3 linked regions of the Canis lupus familiaris genome follow. The protein of the gene in region 3 purifies or fractionates together with the protein of the main gene of each other region. This does not show direct contact. Links are inferred from orthologs where the notes say so. Each region holds a gene or a part of one and is shown on either strand. Other genes may lie near its edges. The genes, in order: TOPBP1, PGAM5 and SLX4.

The links.
Region 1: the proteins of SLX4 (region 3) and TOPBP1 purify together in Homo sapiens (affinity purification with mass spectrometry; 3 studies listed by BioGRID, with this or other methods). This does not show direct contact. The link is inferred for Canis lupus familiaris from reciprocal best matches to the Homo sapiens genes SLX4 and TOPBP1.
Region 2: the proteins of SLX4 (region 3) and PGAM5 purify together in Homo sapiens (affinity purification with mass spectrometry; 4 studies listed by BioGRID and IntAct, with this or other methods). This does not show direct contact. The link is inferred for Canis lupus familiaris from reciprocal best matches to the Homo sapiens genes SLX4 and PGAM5.

Annotation. Positions count from the first base shown.
Region 1 is NC_049244.1:31,093,819-31,100,639, reverse strand, and holds the start of TOPBP1 (DNA topoisomerase 2-binding protein 1), read left to right. Parts: upstream 1-2,538; 5' UTR 2,539-2,649; intron 2,650-2,791; exon of another isoform or gene 2,792-2,920; intron 2,921-3,072; exon of another isoform or gene 3,073-3,228; 5' UTR 3,229-3,235; coding exon 3,236-3,319; intron 3,320-5,418; exon of another isoform or gene 5,419-5,420; coding exon 5,421-5,555; intron 5,556-6,035; exon of another isoform or gene 6,036-6,173; coding exon of another isoform or gene 6,174-6,200; intron 6,201-6,821. UniProt on the Homo sapiens protein: Scaffold protein that acts as a key protein-protein adapter in DNA replication and DNA repair. Composed of multiple BRCT domains, which specifically recognize and bind phosphorylated proteins, bringing proteins together into functional combinations.
Region 2 is NC_049247.1:425,017-430,303, reverse strand, and holds part of PGAM5 (serine/threonine-protein phosphatase PGAM5, mitochondrial), read left to right. Parts: intron 1-718; coding exon 719-934; intron 935-2,402; coding exon 2,403-2,528; intron 2,529-2,606; coding exon 2,607-2,695; intron 2,696-2,775; coding exon of another isoform or gene 2,776-2,795; coding exon 2,796-2,929; intron 2,930-5,194; coding exon 5,195-5,287. UniProt on the Homo sapiens protein: Mitochondrial serine/threonine phosphatase that dephosphorylates various substrates and thus plays a role in different biological processes including cellular senescence or mitophagy. Modulates cellular senescence by regulating mitochondrial dynamics.
Region 3 is NC_049227.1:37,951,697-37,957,736, reverse strand, and holds part of SLX4 (structure-specific endonuclease subunit SLX4), read right to left. Parts: intron 5,852-6,040; coding exon 5,627-5,851; intron 3,952-5,626; coding exon 3,774-3,951; intron 2,835-3,773; coding exon 2,622-2,834; intron 596-2,621; coding exon 390-595; intron 292-389; coding exon 1-291. UniProt on the Homo sapiens protein: Regulatory subunit that interacts with and increases the activity of different structure-specific endonucleases.

The sequences.
Region 1 (6,821 bases), on a different chromosome or scaffold from region 3:
CTCTGCCTCTCTCTGTGTGTCTCTCATGAATAAATAAATAAAATCTTAAAAAGAATTTTTTTTTGTAAACATCAAGTTCCCTTTAATCCTATTTCAAGCAGAGTTTGGAGTGTCTGACTACTGATGACAGAAATGCCAAAGAAACAAGACGGTGACCCTGAATGCCAGTGAAGACAAACTTAATTCTGAACTCCATCTTCTGAGGCAGCTGTCCGTAGGGAAATCACAGCTGTTCCCCCTTTTCACCAAAACCTTCATGGACCACAACCCATATCACCACTTTCACCCTTCCCTCAGAGATGCTGTTTGGGCAAACTTTTGTGTGTATCAGAATCAGCTGGAGGGCTTACTAAAATGGAATGCCAGGACCCACACGCAGAGTTCCTGACTAAGCAAGTCTGAGATTAGGCCCGAGAATTTTCATTTCCAACAAATTCCTAGTTCATGCTGATGCAGCTGGTGCAGGCACTACACTAGATTGAGAAACACTGCTCTGTTTTCCAAGACTAGGTACTTAGGGGACAGATACAGACCTTCCTTGCCTACCTGGAGACACAGATGGGAGAACTTGTCACCTGGTCTATTCTAAGGACAAGACCAACTCCTCTGTTATTAAAATCAGCTGGCTAAGAGCTAAAGGGGTGAGTTCATTTTCCTCCTCCTCTTCATTAGAGCATCTATGACTCTCCTCTCATGAAGCCTCCACTTGGCCCAGAAGTGTTAGGGATGGGCTCCTGCCTCCTGGTACAGAGAAGGCAGGCAGCATGTGACAAGGATAGGGTGGTGTGGGAAGGGCAAGGGGCTTCCAGTCACACTACCTCTTATCAAGCCTGGGTGCAGCCACTCCCCAGCTGTGTGGCTCTGGGACTCACTTTCCCCATCTACACAACACGGGATGATGATGCCCACATCCTAGAAGATTGCTGAGGAGAGTAGACAGGAATAGTGCAAGCAGGGGTCCTTTGTTGACTGTAAAGTACCCCACAAACAGTAATTATTGCCACAGCTTGTGACAGATTTGCTCCTTAACAATAACCTGTAGCAGTGGTGGCTCATTCTCCTGGTTTTTATTTTTTTATTTTTTACAACTCTAGTAACTTTGGTTTATTTTTAAGACTCTCCTCACCCTCTCCCCAACAATGACCTGTACCTCTGAGCCCCAGTGTTACTGATTCTGACTCACCTTGCACAGGTGTATTTACACACGTAGACTCATCCTTGGGCACTAAAAGGAAAAACAGTTGGGGTTAAACTGTCATATTGCTCAACCCAAAGTCATGAGCTGCTTCTTTTTTTAAGATTTTTTTTTTTATTTATTTATTTATTTATTTATTTATTTATTTATTTATTTATTTATTTATTTATGAGAGAGACAGAGAGAGATTGAGAGGCAGACACACAGGCAGAGGGAGAAGCAGGCTCCATGCAGGGAGCCCAATGTGGGACTAGATCCCAGAACTCTGGGATCACGCCCTGGGCTGATCAACCTCTGAGCCCCCCGGGCTGCCCCTTAGCTAGTGTTTTTTATTTTATTCCTCACTCTTGAGATTAAGAAGCTCATGACTGGGGGATCCCTGGGTGGCTCAGCGGTTGAGCGCCTGCCTTAGGCCCAGGGAGGGATCCCGGGATCGAGTCCCACCCAGGTCGGGCTCCCTGCATGGAGCCTGCCTCTCTCCCTGTGTCTCATGAATAAACAAAAAAAAAAAAAAAAAAAAGGAAAAAGAAAAGAAACACTAGCTAAGCAATTTGTCACGGGTCAACAAGCCAGGATTCCGCAGGTCCATTAAACCCTTCTCATCCCTGTCCTTTGCCATTTGAACATCAGGCTCCACCCCCAGAATCTCCCCAACCCTCAGGGAGTTAAAGGAAATGAGACAGCCTTGGAAGAGGAGCAGAGACCACTGAAGATCTTGACCCAGACCCTCTTCCTCGGCTAAGTGACTCAAGTCATCCTGACATCTTTCTTTCCTTGCGGAGGCCATATTCCTCCGGAAGGCTCACATTCCTCCGACATTGGAGGAAAAAGGACCCTTCTATGGAGTCAAAGAGCCTTGGACGCAGTTTTAAGGCTACCATTTACCACGTGACCTTACATCGCTTAACTTACCGAAGACTCTGTTTTCACATCTGTAAAACGCAAATAGATGCGACACTATGTGCCTCAGAAAATTGTTTAGGGCGATAATACACGTTTTCTCACACACTGCCCTGCATATGGTAGTATTTTACTGATCGGGGAAACCTGATTTTCCCCGGGGCTTATTTCGCCAGGTCGTCCCGGCCTGCTACCCCACGCCCCGAGCTGTGCACGCCCGGCCAACTCCCGACGGAGCCAGGGCCCGCCTTCCAAGCCCTACGCCCCGGCACCCCCCCAGCCGACAGGCAGCAGCGCCACTCCCGCCGCCGTCGCCGCCACCCTGCCGCGGCGGCGGCTGGCGTCACTTCCGCCGGAAGAGGCGGGCGCGTCCGCGCGGTTGGCGCGAAAGTCGGTTCGCCGCCTCGGCAATTTCCGGGTTCTGCGTCGGCTTCGGGTCGGGGGCGCCGCGGGCTGCGGCGGGTGTGCGCCGGGCTGGCGCCCGACCCCAGCCGCCGTCTGGCAGGCCGCGCGCCCCTCCGCTCCCCGCCCGAAGGCCCGCAGGCTCCCCCGAGGTGAGTGAGGCACGGGGGGCGGACCTGGCTCCCTCCCCACCGCGGTTGGGGGGTCGCGGCACCTCCGCCGGCCTACGGGGCCCTCGGACCGGCGGGCGGGACCTTGACGCCGTAGAGGATGGGGCCGCGGTTGGACCGAGAGCCGGGCCCATCTGTGGCAAGAGGCAGGCAGGAGCGCTCGGCCTTCTGGGGCATGACCTCGCTAACCGGCTTCCTTGTTTATATTCAAGTCCGTTTACTGAGTGAACAAGCGTGGACAGTCTGGTTCTGTGTATCCTTAAGTGCAGTTGAATTGCTCCTTGGCTTAGGGGTCGTAGAGCCCCAGAGGCCCTGAACGTATTCAATTTAAAGACTTTCATTTCATTCTCTGACGTGCAAGGATTGATGTTGTCCTCTTTTTCCTTGACTTTGCCCACATTCCAGCGTTTCTTAGAAACTAATGAACGAGTTCATGGGCAAGGCCAGAACGTCTCTATCCTTGGGCATTGCTGTTCTGCACAGAAAAAATAGGTGCTTTTAACATGTAACTTCATACGTGATGTGTTTTTGTCCTTCTTAATGGTTCCTCTATTTTGACAGTTCAAAAATGTCCAGAAATGACAAAGAACCGTTTCTTGTGAAGTTTTTAAAGTCTTCAGACAATTCCGAATGTTTTTTTAAAGCTCTGGAGGTAAGAATAGTTTGAAAATGGCCGTGAATTCATTTCCTCCGTTTTAGTGTTTTTGATTTGTTGGGCTTTTTATGTCTTAGTAATGTTTTATTTTCACTCTAGTTTTACTGTAGTGTACATCAACACGGATGTGTCATTACATAGTTTTGGATTGGGGTAATAAATAGTTCATTATTATATATTTTGGGGGGCATGAAATCTATCGCTTTTTTTTTTTTTAAGATTTTTATTTATTTATTTGACAGCACAAAGCAGAGAAAGAAGCAGACTCCCCATGGAGCAGGCAGCCCGATGCGGGGCTGGATCCCAGGACCGTGGGATCATGACCTGAGCTGAAGGCAGACACTTAACCAACTGAGCCAGGGCACCCTATTATGACATTTTTATTTAAAGTAGCAGAGCTGCTATTCTTGAAAATTACATTGCTTTCTTTGTCTACTAGCCAGAGTAGACCTTTGTATGTTGAAGAAATTTGAGTCTGTTTTGTACTGGTTACACTTCATTTTTTGGTAATTAGAAGTAGGTTTCACCATGTACACTGTAATATGGGAAGGTGTGGGGGGGTGTTGTAGAGCCTTGCTACTTAGAGACCCCGGCCACATCAGTAGAGTTGGAAATGGAGAACGTTGGGCCCAACTCAGACTGACCAATTAGAATCTGCATTTTAAAAAGATCCTCAGGGCAGCCCAGAGCCGCCTGTAGCCCAGGGTGTGATCCTGGACACCCCAGATCGAGTCCTGCGTCAGGCTCCCTGCATGGAGCCTGCTTCTCCCTCTGCCTGTGTCTCTGCCTCTCTCTCTCTCTCTCTCTCAATCTGTGTCTCTTATGAATAAATAAATAAAATCTTTAAAAAATAAAAAGATCCTCAGTGTGATTCCAAAGTTTAAGAAGCACTATTGTAGCAGATTTTTTTTAATATATATTTTTTAAGATTTTATTTATTTATTCATGAGAGACAGAGAGAGAGGCAGAGACACAGGCAGAGGGAGAAGCAGGCTCCATGCAGGGAACCCGACGTGGGACTCGATCCTGGATCTCCAGGATCACGCCCTGGGCTGAAGGCAGCGCTAAACAGCTGAGCCACCAAGGCTGCCGTGTAGCAGATTTCTCTTAAAGTTCATTCAGCAAATAATTATTCAGTGTCATGACGTGTTAAGCACTATTGTAGTACTTGGGATACACAAGTGATTACAGCAAGCAAAGATCCATACTTTCTCAGAACTTACATTCTATTTTAGCAATAAGAACTAGACATGAATCAGTAAATGAGTAAACTGTACGGTATGTTAATAAGGTGCTATGTGTTACGGAAAGAGAAAAGAACAAAACAGATTAAGGAGTTCTAGAGAATGTTGAGAGGAGAAGGGAAGGTTACAATCTTTAGAGTGTGATTGGTGAAGGCTTTATAGAGAAGATAATTGAGTACACTTGAAGGAGGTGAGATGGTTGGCCATGTGGATGTCTGGGAAGAAGCTTTCAGGCAGAGAGAACAGCCATATACAGGCCCCTGAGAAAGTACTTGGAAGTGCCTATCCAACAGTAGTATGGCTGTAGTATAGTGAACGGGGGATGGGGGAAGAATATTAAAAAGTACCTTAGAGAGTAAGGGTACAGAGGTCATGTAATGGGCCTTAAGGACTATTGTAAGGACTTTGACTTTCTCTTTTTCATTTGAACAGATCTGAAGTGAGGGAGCAAGTCAGATGAAGACTGGGAGGGTATTCCAGGTAGCAGGAACAATAGCAGAGCCTCTAATTAGGTCATGCTTGGCTTGTTTCAGGCCTAGCAAGAAAGTAGGAGTGGCTAGAGAAGAGTAGGAGAGGTGAGAGGTAGAGGGTTAAGAGTGAGGAGATAGACAGGGGACAGACTCATGACCTGATTTGTATTGTTAGAGATCGATCACTAGTTGCTGTACGGAGAAGAGATTTAGGGCCAAGAAAGGAGAAGGAACCACTTTGTAGACTTCTGCAGAGGTCTAAGTGAGAGATGATAGTAGCTTTCAATGGGGGAAAAGATTGGATGGATTTTGAAGGTAGAACTCATAGGACTTAAATACAGGTGAAAAATTTTATGTGCATTCTTTCTTTTTTTTTTCTTTCAGTCAATAAAAGAATTTCAATCAGAAGAATATCTTCAGATTATTACAGAAGAAGAGGCATTGAAGATACAGGAAAATGATAGGTCACTTTATATCTGTGACCCTTTTAGTGGCGTTGTCTTTGATCACCTCAAAAAGGTTTGCTAACTTTTCATGTGTTCCTTCCATAGTCTGATTTTTGTTTTTGCTTCAGTGGACATAAGTTCTTTACTGACCGTGAGATATTATACAGATTATGAATATAGAGGAATCCTTTGGTTTTAGGAAACCAGACTAGTATTTTTAAAGGCTAATCATGTTACAACAAGCTTTTGTTGTATGTAATTTTTATATTACAGGAGATTTAACTTCTCTTAGCTTAAGTGAACTGTATAGTAATGAAACATTTTAATGACAGAGTTCTACTGTACTTAAACTCAGATTTTCAGTAAAGAGTAGGAAAAGATCTCAACATAACGCTTGGTTACTTACTGTCTTTCCTATGTGCACTTGCACGCAGAATTTTAGTACCTGTACCTTGTAGAGGGTCTGAAACATTATATGCCTAAAGGAAACATTTTGGGGATGAGTATTGCTAATATACCAATGAGCCATCTTATCTCTCTTTGTTGATTCCAGAGTCTACTGACTCATTACTTTTTTGGTGTCTGGACAAGCGAGAAGCATTGAAATAAAAGTAAACTGGCTGTAATTCCATCCAGATTACAAAGAAGTGATTCTTGTTTGAAGGAGAAGAAAACATAGAAGAGTAGGTAGATGCAGTATCTGCACAATTTATGGAAGGTCTGTGCCCACCTTTGCCAAAAGCATTGTTGGTCTTACCCTCCTTTTGGAAATAACACTCCTTGTCAGATAGAGTCAATAGCATTAAAAACTCAAATTTTCTTGGCTGAACAAAAAGATAGCAGTAGTCATTTACCATGTAGATCTTTTAAATCAGTCATGACTTAATGACTTTGGCATCCGTATCCTTTTTAGATCTGGCTTGAATATGCTGATGTTGAGCAAGACTCAACTTTTCTAAACTCAAGTTATCAATGAAAATGAAAGGCCATATTTTTAATAACCTGTAATATCTTTGAGAAATACTTACTTGGAAAGACATTGAGTTGAAGACAAAGTATTTAAAACACAAATGTAGACACTGCCTGGGATTTTTTTATGTGTGACAGAATAGGTATTTTAGAAGGGGTTAATTAGGCTCTTAAACTTTTAAACTGCTTGATTGGATACTTCATTTAAAAAGTATATATGGATGTTTCCTATAATTATTATAGCATAAGATTGTTAGTCCTGTACCCTCTCACTTAGACTATGTTTGTTTCAGATACTAAAATTTGTTGGCTGTTGTGACTAAATGTGGCTCTTGGGGCATATATCTTTTGATAGACTGCATTGTTTGAT
Region 2 (5,287 bases), on a different chromosome or scaffold from region 3:
TCCCAGCTGGGGATGCTCTTTTCCTAGCCCATACCACAGACCTTTAGCTTTTTCAAATTTCCGTTCTGGAAGCCACCAGACATCCCTGTCTTCCAACAACCAAATCTTAGGTTGTTTCTCGGCATCTTCACTGGTGCTGCCCCCCATCCTCACCCCCCACCACCTCTTCAGCTCCTCAACCTTCCAGGAGTGCCATCCAATAGACTTTTCATAATAATAGGAATGTTCTCTTCCTCGCTATCCAATGTGATCACCACTATCCTATGGGTTACTGACCATTTCAAATGTTCTTAGTGTGACTGGGGAAATGGAGTAATATCTTTATTATTTTGAATTTAAGTAGCCACACAGCCAGTATCTAGCATTGGACAGCACAGTTGCAGGCTCTGCTTCAACATGGCCACACTAGCTTTGTGGGCACTCCCCAGCTACCCCTTCCTGGTACCTGGTTTCGTTTTCTACACATCTCTTATCACTTGGCTGTTTTTATCAGTCTCTTTTCACTAGAACACAAGCTGCATGAGAGCTTCATTTGTCCACTTCATTCACTGATCACCCCAAACAGGCCTGGCACTCCGCTCTGGGTAAATGCGATGTGCTCTAAGAGGATGGGCTCTTAGGGGCCACAGCAGAGGGCAGAGGGTATTGTTTGTCCCTGCGCTTTCCCAAGACGGAAATACCGTCTAGTCAAAAAAACTCAATTCTGATTTGTGAGCAGAGATCACAAGGACACGCCTCTCATATTTCAACATTAGGCGAGAACCACTATCCTTGGTCAACCTGCGGAAGAGGAACCTAGACTCTGGAGAAGAAGAACTGGCGTCCAGGCTGGACCACTGCAAAGCAAAGGCCACACGACACATCTTCCTCATCAGGCACTCCCAGTACCACATGGATGCCTCCCTGGAAAAGGACCGCACTCTAACACCCCTGGGTATGTGCTGGGACTCAAGCCCCAACTGACACTTGTCCTAGTGACGCTGGGCCCCTTTGGACCTGTGTCAGGGGCTTGGCCCAGATTCAAGAATTGTCATTAACAGTGATCAGCAACCTAACTGATACAAGACAGGCATTGAAAACATCCTCAACTTTAGGGGCGCCTGGGTGGCTCAGCAGTTGAGCAGCACCTTTGGCCCAAGGCATGACCATGTGTCCGGGGATCGAGTCCCGCATCAGGCTCCCTGTGGGGAGCCTGCTTCTCCCTCTGCCTGTGTCTCTGCTTCTCTGTGTCTCTCATGAATAAATAAATAAAATCCTTGAAAAAAAAAATTCCTCAACTTTAAAAAATGTATGGTGGATCTCACAGGTGATCAGACCCAAAGCACAGCAGAGGTGTTCTATACTCCCTGATGCTCTGTAAGTGGCATAGCCCATGCACCCTGTTCTGCTTGACTTAACCTGTTGCTGAAGATCCTTCTATTCAGCACTTGCAGATCTGTTTAAAGTTTGCTTCATAATGGTAAACAGACAGGATTGAGTGATAGCTCTAACCATCTCCCTGGCAGGAGTGCTACTTATTGCAGTTTCTTGCCATCGTGAGCAGCACTGCGGGGCATGCCCTTCCACCGTGGTCTTTGTGCCCATGTGCAAGCATATCTGTAGAAGAAATTCCTAGGAGAGGAAGTACAGGGTGGTCTGAGATAAGGTTTACATTTTTAAAGATGTCTTTGTTGGATAGGATATTAGCCATCTGTGCACATTCAGTGCTACATGCACTTGAAACTGACCTTCTGAGAGCATTTTCATCTAGATTCTAAAATATATATATATATATATATATATATTTTTTTTTTTTAATTTTATTTGAGAGATTGAGCAAGACAGAGCACAAGCGGGAGGAGGGGAAGAGGGAGAGGGAGAAGCAGACTCCCTGCTACGCAGGGAGCTTGACTTGGGACTCAATCTCAGGACTCCAAAATCATGAGTCCAAGGGAGACACTTATCCCACTGAACCACCCAGGCATCCCTAAAATATATATTTGAGAAAAAAGATTTGTATTTGTACACAGACTGTACTTAGTGAATGCTGAGGCCATTTGGTCTTTACGTGTTGACATCTGTGATAATGCACAACTGGTCGATCCATGGCACGTTGCAACTCCATGTTTGGACAAAATTAAAAGTGGCATAAAGGACACAAAGATAGGAACAGGATCCCAGATCTCAGGGATCCTCAACCTTGGTCATTAACATTCCTTCTGTATGGAGCTAAAGGTAACTGCATTATCTCATTGTTTCCACCTGTCAAATGCTTGGCCCCTAGTTAGGGCCAAACCCCAGGAGGGTCTGCCCGTCTTGTTCCCCAGCCGTAAGGGCACTTGGTAAAGGACTGGAGTATTTCTGAAGTAAACAAAAGAGGAACTCCAGCAACCTATAATTCTCTGGTGTTTTTCACCTTCAAGGTCGTGAACAGGCTGAACTAACTGGGCTCCGACTTGCAAGCTTGGGGTTGAAGTTTAATAAAATTGTCCATTCGTCTATGACCCGAGCCATAGAAACCAGTGACATCATCAGCAAGCACCTGCCAGGTGAGTGCCCCGCATCTCCAGGGCACACTGGGTGGCTAGTCCTGAAGGGGCAGCACCTAGCTGCGGCTTCTCTTACAGGTGTCTGCAAGGTCAGCACAGACCTGCTGAGGGAAGGCGCCCCCATTGAGCCCGACCCGCCTGTGTCCCACTGGAAGCCAGAGGCTGTGGTAAAAGCCCCACTCCCCCCGAGCCCCCCCGACCTGCAGCCTGCATGCCCTGCGGCCTGCATGCCGTGGCCATCCTTAAGATTCCTTGCTCTGCCCCCAGCAGTATTATGAAGATGGAGCCCGGATTGAGGCCGCCTTCCGGAACTACATCCATCGGGCAGATGTCAAGCAGCAGGAAGACAGTTACGAGATCTTCATCTGCCATGCCAATGTCATCCGCTACATCGTGTGCCGGTGAGGGGTGACATAGGTTCCCTGGCCCACCATCCTTCCTGCCAGCCTGTGCCAGTGCCTCTTCCCTGGAGACCTTAGCCTTCTGGGAGAATGTCAGTTTGGAGTTTTTCCATGATCGTGTATTTATGGCGGGAATAGCACAAATGTGATCCACTTGTCCAGGGTAGGTCGGGGTGCCCGAGAAGTCAGTGGCACATTCTGGGTGATGCTAACACGGTCACTTGGTTCAGGCACTGTGCGCTGGACTTCACACCGTACAGTCGGTTTTTCCCCCTCAGTGATTTGTAAGCGTCTTGGGAGACAGTGCAAATCTTCTGTCCCTCTGATTTATACCGACTGACTTTAGCCCATTGGGAGTTCCTGCCACAACAGATACAGTGGTGGTGCTCACCTAATGGTGGTTTTGCATTTCTGTCTGTCATTTGTTATTTGAAATCCTTCTGTAAGACCTCACTCTTACTCTGTTTATTTGTAGGATTATAGACTCATAGATCTGTATTTAGCACTGTGGATTAGAACCCATCACCATGTTCGTCCCTTCACTGCTCTGGCTGCCCCAGCACTGGCTGCCCCAGCATTGGCTGTTGGGCCCCCAGGAGGCTTCTGTGTCCTCTGGACCTGCCTCACTTCCTGGCACTAACGGAGGTTCCAGAGCCCTCATGAGTGATGCCTGCCCTGAGTAGCAGCCATGTACCAAAGGCCCTTGGAGGTAGTTAGGCCAGCTGGGTGCTTATGTATTTAACCAAAGTTCACTTAGTGAAAAATTTGAAGTAACTGGAATCCCAGACACCCCCTGGACCCATTAGAAAGTGTGCATTGGGCATTTTAACAGCTGAGGGATCTCCTCTTGTGATGAGTCTGACAGGGCAGGACAGGACACAGCCCACCGGCTGGCCCACAGGACTATCCAAATGTAGGCCCAGGGTCCTTGCTCACCATGCTTGATCCTTGGACCTTTCACCAGGGCTGGCAGGAACGGGGTCATTTCCCCTCCAATGTCCCATGCACGGCCTCTGGTGAGAAGCCCAGGGCATCCGAGGCAGGGGGCACACTGATGCCAGGAGTCAGGCTTCTCAGCTTGGTCACAGGGCTCCAGGCCAGGTGGAGTGTTGCTGGGGAAGAGGGGTGAGCCTCAGACAGGCCTCCACACACTCTGAAGTGCTCAGCACTTCATGTCCTCCAGAGGGCATAGTCTCAGAGCTCCTGTGCTCAGCACATGCTGTTCCCCGGCACCACCCTCATTGCTGCTCTGGATGTCTCTGCACCGTGGAAACGCCATAATCTAACACCCTGTGACAGGCTGACCCCAGCAGCCACTAGAAGTGACCCCAATGCTGAAAACTAATCAGAATTGGGGACTTGGAGTAGAGGTGACCTGTGTGCCATAAAGGGCTAGAAGGAACCAGAGCATCCCTGTCACAATACATGAGGTTATTTTGGAGTTTGTGAGGGACACAAGGAGAAGACTTTAAAAAGCACCATGGTGGCTGCAGAGTGAGCCAAGGGGATGCCCCTTACCATTTAGGGCACAAAGGATGTCTGATGACTTGGGGAAGCCATGATGATACTGGGCTTTTCAGCAAATACTGCACCTAAAAAGTGTTCCTGAGGACAAGGAAAGGCTCTGGGCTTGTGGATTATACCACCCTGTTCCTGGGCAAGAGTGGAATAGGAATGGGTCCATTGCACAGTCCGGCTGCCCCTGCCCCCTTTTGGTTACACTGGAAAAAGAAGTCAATGGAAGCCATGTATTTCTGACTCACATGCACATCTGGAGTTGGGTTAATCCCCTGACCCAAAGAGGGGCTGGGCTGTCCCCATCCCCCTTGATTTGATGGGAGATCATCAGCCCAGTAGCTCTGTCCTCTGAGAGACCCCTTGCTGAAAAACAGGAGGGACAGACTTGGCTATATGGGTCCCAGCCCCAAGAAAATCTCTGAGGGGGATCCCTGGGTGGCGCAGCGGTTTAGCGCCTGCCTTTGGCCCAGGGCGCGATCCTGGAGACCCGGGATCGAGTCCCACGTCGGGCTCCTGGTGCATGGAGCCTGCTTCTCCCTCTGCCTATGTCTCTGCCTCTCTCTCTCTCTCTCTCTCTCTCTCTCTGCAACTATCATAAATAAATAAAAGTTAAAAAAATATTAAAAAAAAAAAAAGAAAAAGAAAATCTCTGAGACCCTAACTGGGGTGGGGGCTATTGCATTGCCCAGACCCCAGCCTGTTTTGGTGGCTGAGCCCTCTGTTCTAGCATGTTCTTTCTCTTTCCAGGGCACTGCAGTTCCCTCCTGAAGGCTGGCTCCGCCTGTCTCTCAACAATGGCAGCATAACCCACCTGGTGGTACGGCCAGATGGCCGAGTGGC
Region 3 (6,040 bases):
GAGGGACCAGGCTTGTGGTGTAGAAGGCTTCCAGAGCCCAGGCTCCAGTCAGGGCACTGCCCTCCCACAAAAAGTTCTTCTTCCCTCCAGGCGGCTGCAGACTCTGGCCAGCCTTTTCCAGCTCCCCCTGTAGGATCCTGCTCGCAGGAAGTGGCGGTGTGCTGGACAGCTCCATCTCCTCCGCAAAGAGCTGGGCCACCCGGTCTTCGGTCTGCCTCCCTGTGGTCTCCGGGTCTTGGAGTAACAACAGGGGAGGGCAGGCAGGTGCTTTCCTCTTGCGACTCTTCTTTTCTGGGGTGAACGGAAGCACAGGGTCAGTGACAGAGCTGCCCCACACCCTGAGGCCCAGCAGGAGTGGTGAGGCTGTGCCAGCCTGGCGCCGCACCTACCTGCCCCCAGTCTTATCCTCTCGGAGAAAGCGCTTTCCAGTCTCAGCACGGGGGGCACGGCCTCCTGCTCCATCTCGGACCGGGACAGAGCCATGGCCACCAGCAAGTCTTCAGATGGCACCTCGGGCTCGTTGACCTTCCGCTTCTTCTGCAGCTCCTTCCTATTGGTGGCTCCCTTCCGCTTCAAACCTCCGTGATTGCTGAAGCTTAAAAAGCAGCCAAACAGAAAGGTTAGTGAGGCCAGGGTGTGAGCACTTCCTGTGCCAGGAACATCCCTGCTGGACCAGAGAGGCCCAGACCCCATCTCCTCTGCATTGGGAAGAGAAAAGGGATAAACACAGACCCATTAAACAGAGGCATCAATGGCTCTGGGAGTTCACTGTGCTCATCCTGTTGCCTCATGTTAAGGTCACATGATCCTGGGCCAAGTTCAGTGCGCCCCAGAGAGGGGAGGTCTGGTCCTTCCATGTGACACTACCCTGCTGAGTTCCTGGCAGGTGTATCAAGCTCTGAGTGGTACCTGCACACTCCAGGTGTGGCCAAACCCTTTGGTGGAGTCAGCTTCCTGGATTCCACCAACTTCTGCTCATCAATCCTTCAGGTGCCCCTCAGGCAGTCCTGGCCACACTAGCCATGACAGGATCCCTTTCCTCCTGCAGGGCCTGTAGGCATCGCCTCTGCCCCAGGCCCGAAGGAAAGGCTTCCCAGCTTCCACTACCAACATGGTCAGCCAGCCTGGAGGTCAGTGTATAGCAGCAGCTCATTTGACTTGGAGATTGTCTTAAAGGATTTTCCAGCTGGAGAACCTAGACCACCTGGTGAACCCCAACAGACTGAGCAAGAAATAGGAGGGCAAAGGCGAGAGAGAAATTTGGAGCTCAACCCAGCTGTCAGAATGCTACGAAAAGCACCCTTTATAGAAGCTCATGCTTTCTCCTGGGCCAGGGGTGGCTCAAGAATCTCAGGCATCACCTTGGAAGATCTGAGCAACTCCTAATTCTGTTCCAGTTCCTGGGAACCCCACAGGTTCCCTTCTCCTCCCAGAAGGCAAGGGGTTGTCCCAGCATCTGACTACTCCAGAGTTCCATATACCCCAGGCTTGGCCTTTGGCAGAGGAGGCTCGAAGCCTTGGTGAGGGTATCCATTTGCTATAGTTTTTCTACTTTATCAACCTTCTAGAAGGACCCACACACATCTTGTTTCTCTTCTCAAAGGTTGTTTTTTTTTTAAGATTCTATCCATTTATTCATGAGAGACACAGAGAGAAAGGCAGAGACACAGGCAGAGTGAGAAGCAGGCTCCTCATAGGGATCTCGATGTATGACTCGATTCCAGGACCCTGGGATCGTGCCCTGAGCTAAAGGCACTCAACCCCTGAGCTACCCAGGTGTCCCTTCTCAGAGGTATTTAAAAAGCAGATATATTTCATCTGAGTAGGTGGTTTCCATCCAGTCCTCGCAGAAGGCAAGTGACGGCTTACGTAATGTCTGTGCTAGGGCCTTAAGGCTTCCGATTCTGAGATGCTAGTGTTGATGTGCTACGATATGGACAGGCTCACCAGCTAAGAACCCACCTGTGTCCACCCCAGTCTCACCATGGGCCTGGCTCAGATGCCCACAACCTGTGTGCAAGGCAGTGGGCAGGACAAACAGGGCCACCACTCTTGGCCTTCCCTTTGCTCTTGAAGTCCCAAACCTACAGAAGTGCAGAGCCTACACTGGTTCCTGTAACGCGGCATCCACAGCACCACGGGCAGTAGGGAGGGGAGCTGAGCTGCTTATGTGCCTGTGGTTTGCACCAGCTAGGAGCAAGGCCTCCTATTGTAACACGTAAGCATTTAGTTCATGCACGTTTAAAAAAAAAAAAAAGGCCTGTGCTTCTGTCTCACCAACTGTGTGAACTCACTGAGTCTTCTTCACCAAATGGTAGGAGACTCGGGCTGCACGGAGGTGGAAGCTGTGGCACACCACATGTGAATGGACACAATCAGGTGTGTTACCAGATTCCTCCCTCCTCCAGACGACACCTGCGTGGACCATTTCAAGGCCTTCGAGGGTACAGAATCTGTCTCCTCCTCAGTCCTGGTGGAGACTCTGCCGGATTTCCTCCTCACATCTCATTTCCAGAATCAAGGAGGGTTCTCAGGCTCTACTGTTCTCTAATAATACAAAAGGCTTTAAAAAGAAACAATCCAAGTATTTCTTTGATTTTCCTCCTTTTCCTCTGACTCACCTTGATGCCTGTGTGCTACAGGCCCCGTCAGGCTGAGCTGTCTGCAGCCGCACGGCCTGGAGCAGGAGCTGGGGGCCGACGTCCATCTTCACTGCACACTGTTTCAAGTGGCTGATTCTGCTCTTTGGGGTGAGAAAGGGTTTGCCACAAATTGGGCATTCGGGGATCCGAGGTATGGAGGGTGTCAGTGCCTTTTCAGCCTCATCCAAGCACCTGGAGGAAGACAGTAAACATAAGAGAACCTTCTCCCCAGTAACGTGCATCCACGTCAGCATAGACAGGCCGTGGGCCCAGCCTGTCCTGCCATAGCCCACTCCTCCACATAGCCTGCAGTCAGCTTCTAATGCTAAATTTAGGTATCTGCTGGCTGAAGTGAGCAAGGACATGGCAAACAGTGGCAATGTGTACCCTAAGGAAGTGAGAACAGATACTCTAACATGAGAAACACGTGGTCACAGCAGCTCTATTTACAAAATCCAAAAGTCAGAGACAATCTATACAGATGAACAAGACGTGGTCTGTCCATATGACAAGATATTATTCAGCTGTAAAAAGGAATGAGATTCCAATCCGTGCTCCAACCTGAACTTGAAAGCACTACGCTGAGGGAAGGAAGCCAGACACAAAAGGCTACATCTTACGTGACTCCGCTTACGTCCCCAACGGACAAGTCCGCGGAGACAGTATATTAGCCCCTGCGAGGGGATGGCAGTGGGGGAATGAACAGTGAGCGCTAATGGGGACAGGGTCTCTTTTTGGGGGTAATGAAAATATTCTAAAACTTATTGTGGTAACGGTTGCACAATTCTGTGAATATAATAAATAAAAGCCATTGAATTGTTAACTTTAAAAAGATGACCTGGGACGCCTGGGGGGCTCAGTGGCTGAGCATCCACCTTCGGCCCAGGCCATAACCCTGGGTCCAGGATCGAGTCCCGCATCAGGTCCGCACAGGGAGCCCGCTTCTCCCTCTGCCTGGGTCTCGACCTCTCTGTGTTTTGTGAATAAATAACATCTTTAAAAAATAAATAAAAGGATGAGCTGCATAATATGGGAATCGCAGCTCAATAAAGCTGTCCAATGAAATGGCAGGGCTAGGTTGAGGCCTATGCAGAGGTGCTCTGGTCACGGCCGCCCAGTCTGTCTTCCTACCGGTTCACGTGCTGCTCCCTTCGCGTCACATTCATGGCCGAGAGGTTCTTGTGGCAGATCTGGCAGAAGAACAGCCCTGCCTCCTCCAGGCTGCCCTCTGGTGTGGCTGTGGCTGCTCCGTGGGGCCCAAGGCCCTGCTGCAGGGTGCTCTCCAGCACGAGGAGCCCGTAGCCCGGCCCTGGGGGGAGAGGGAGGGGAGTGAGGGCTGGGCCCTGCTGCCCACGCTCCTGCAGCACCAGGCGGACACGCGGCCACCGTCACCCAGCACCGGGCAGCCGCCCGTGAGGCCTCCCGTTGCGCGCTGCTCCCAGGCCCCGTGAGGTGGCAGCGCCTCGGCCACTGTCACAACCAGGCCCTGGCGGACGCACCGTTCCTGTCCCCTCCTGCTTGAGCCTCCACCCATTCCATGGAGCACAGGCTTCCCCTGCAAAGCTCAGCCTTTCCTACTGCTATGACCTTTTGCTAGAGAGGCCCTTGGCACTCACAGACGCGGAAACCTTCCGAAGTCCCCAGTTCTTGAATATTCCTGTGGCCTATCTTCCCACCGAAGCCAGAAAAGCATCGCACCTCATTTTGGTGCCTTATTTTTTTCTCAACAAAGAAATGGTTTCTCTGTCTCGAGCCCTGAGCATTACTGGGAATGCTTTGAAGGTTGATGCAAACAACCGAGTCACACGCAGGGCAAGTGCTGAGCTCGTGTCCTAGCTGAGCAACTCCAACGCACCCCGGTGGAGTCACAGGGGGTGATGCAATGGTGGATGTCCCCTCTGCCCGTGTGAACCTTAGAGGTAGCCTGAGAATCCTCAGTGCTCCCAGGGTGAACTCTGCAAACCCACTACCAGGAGACTATGTGTTTGTAGCTGCAGGTCCATCGATACAGTTTCTTCCTAGTTATTTCTTTTCTGTGTATTTTCACCAGAGAGGAGGGCTCACATTGTTCTGGGGGGAAAGAACAGAACCAGGGGTATGACGTGCCTCCTGGGGTGGTGGAGGGTGCACTGCATGGCACCTGCATGGCACCTGCACGCTTGGTGCCTGCTGCCTTCACCCAAGGCCCCCCAGACCTCTGGTTTACTCACACGTAATATACCACAGGGCTACAGGAAGTGGTTATGTGACACTATGAGGAAACAATCAAACAAATCTAAAAGTGGGAAATTTAAAAAGACAATTGTCCTGGACTCTTCCAAAAGTTGGTATCATGGAAAAAAAAAAAAAAAAAACAGGACAAGGGGACTGTTCTAGAATCTAGACTTTAAAAGACTACTGAACTATAGCAGATGCAGTGTGTGGGACTTATGGTTCTGACCAATCCTTGTTCAGAAAAAAAAAGAAACCATCTATAAGGCTGTCTTTGGGACAAGTGGGGAGATTTTAATATGAACTGGACACCAGGCAGTATTATGGAATCAAGTGTGACAACAGCACTGTGATCATGTAGGAGATGTATGAGGGAGAAGCATCATGACATCTAGAACTTACTTTGAAATGGTATAGAAGAATCAGATATACTTAGGAGAAATAAAAAATACATGCCAAAATGTTAATAATTGTTAAATACAGATTGAGGGCATGGGGGTTCATTGTAATATTTTTTTTTTTTACCTTTCTGTATGGGAAAAATATCATAATAAAAAGTCAAAATAAGAGGAAGAGGTCCTTTGTCAAAGAAGCTAAATGCGAAATGACCCAAGGGACCCTTCATTCTCTGGCTAATACAATGAAGTGGCCAAGGTACGGTGCCAGCCAGAGCACCCACCCCGACCACGCAACTCAAGAATGCGGGTTCCTTCCTGCCCCTCTTTCTCCAGGGTTCAAACTTATCCTTTGAATATATAAAACTCCCATCATACCATGCCCTGCTGTCATCTCCTCTGGAGGGCCCCGTGGGGTGTTTTCTTCAAGCGTCGCCTCCAGGGAGCACCTTTCTGAAGCATGCTGCAAACGCTCAGGGTCTGCCCTTTTGAACTGCTGCATTCGCTGTACAACCAACTCTGCCGTCCGGGCTTTGGAGGGACTTGGCGCTGTCACTGTCAGACAGGAAGGAGGGGGCTGGGAGTTGCTGTCCGGAGCAGCCTCTGGCAAGGAGGAAAATATTCACAGTCATCTGTTCTAGATGGAGAAACAAGGACTCTTCCCCCAGATACAGGTTGAACCCAAGTTTCAAGGGGTTGTTTACCAACTAGTTTAGGTTTAACTCTCAACAGTGAATAGGACCAACTATTGGTAACTTCACCATTGGAGGTAATATAAATAGACCTGTCATA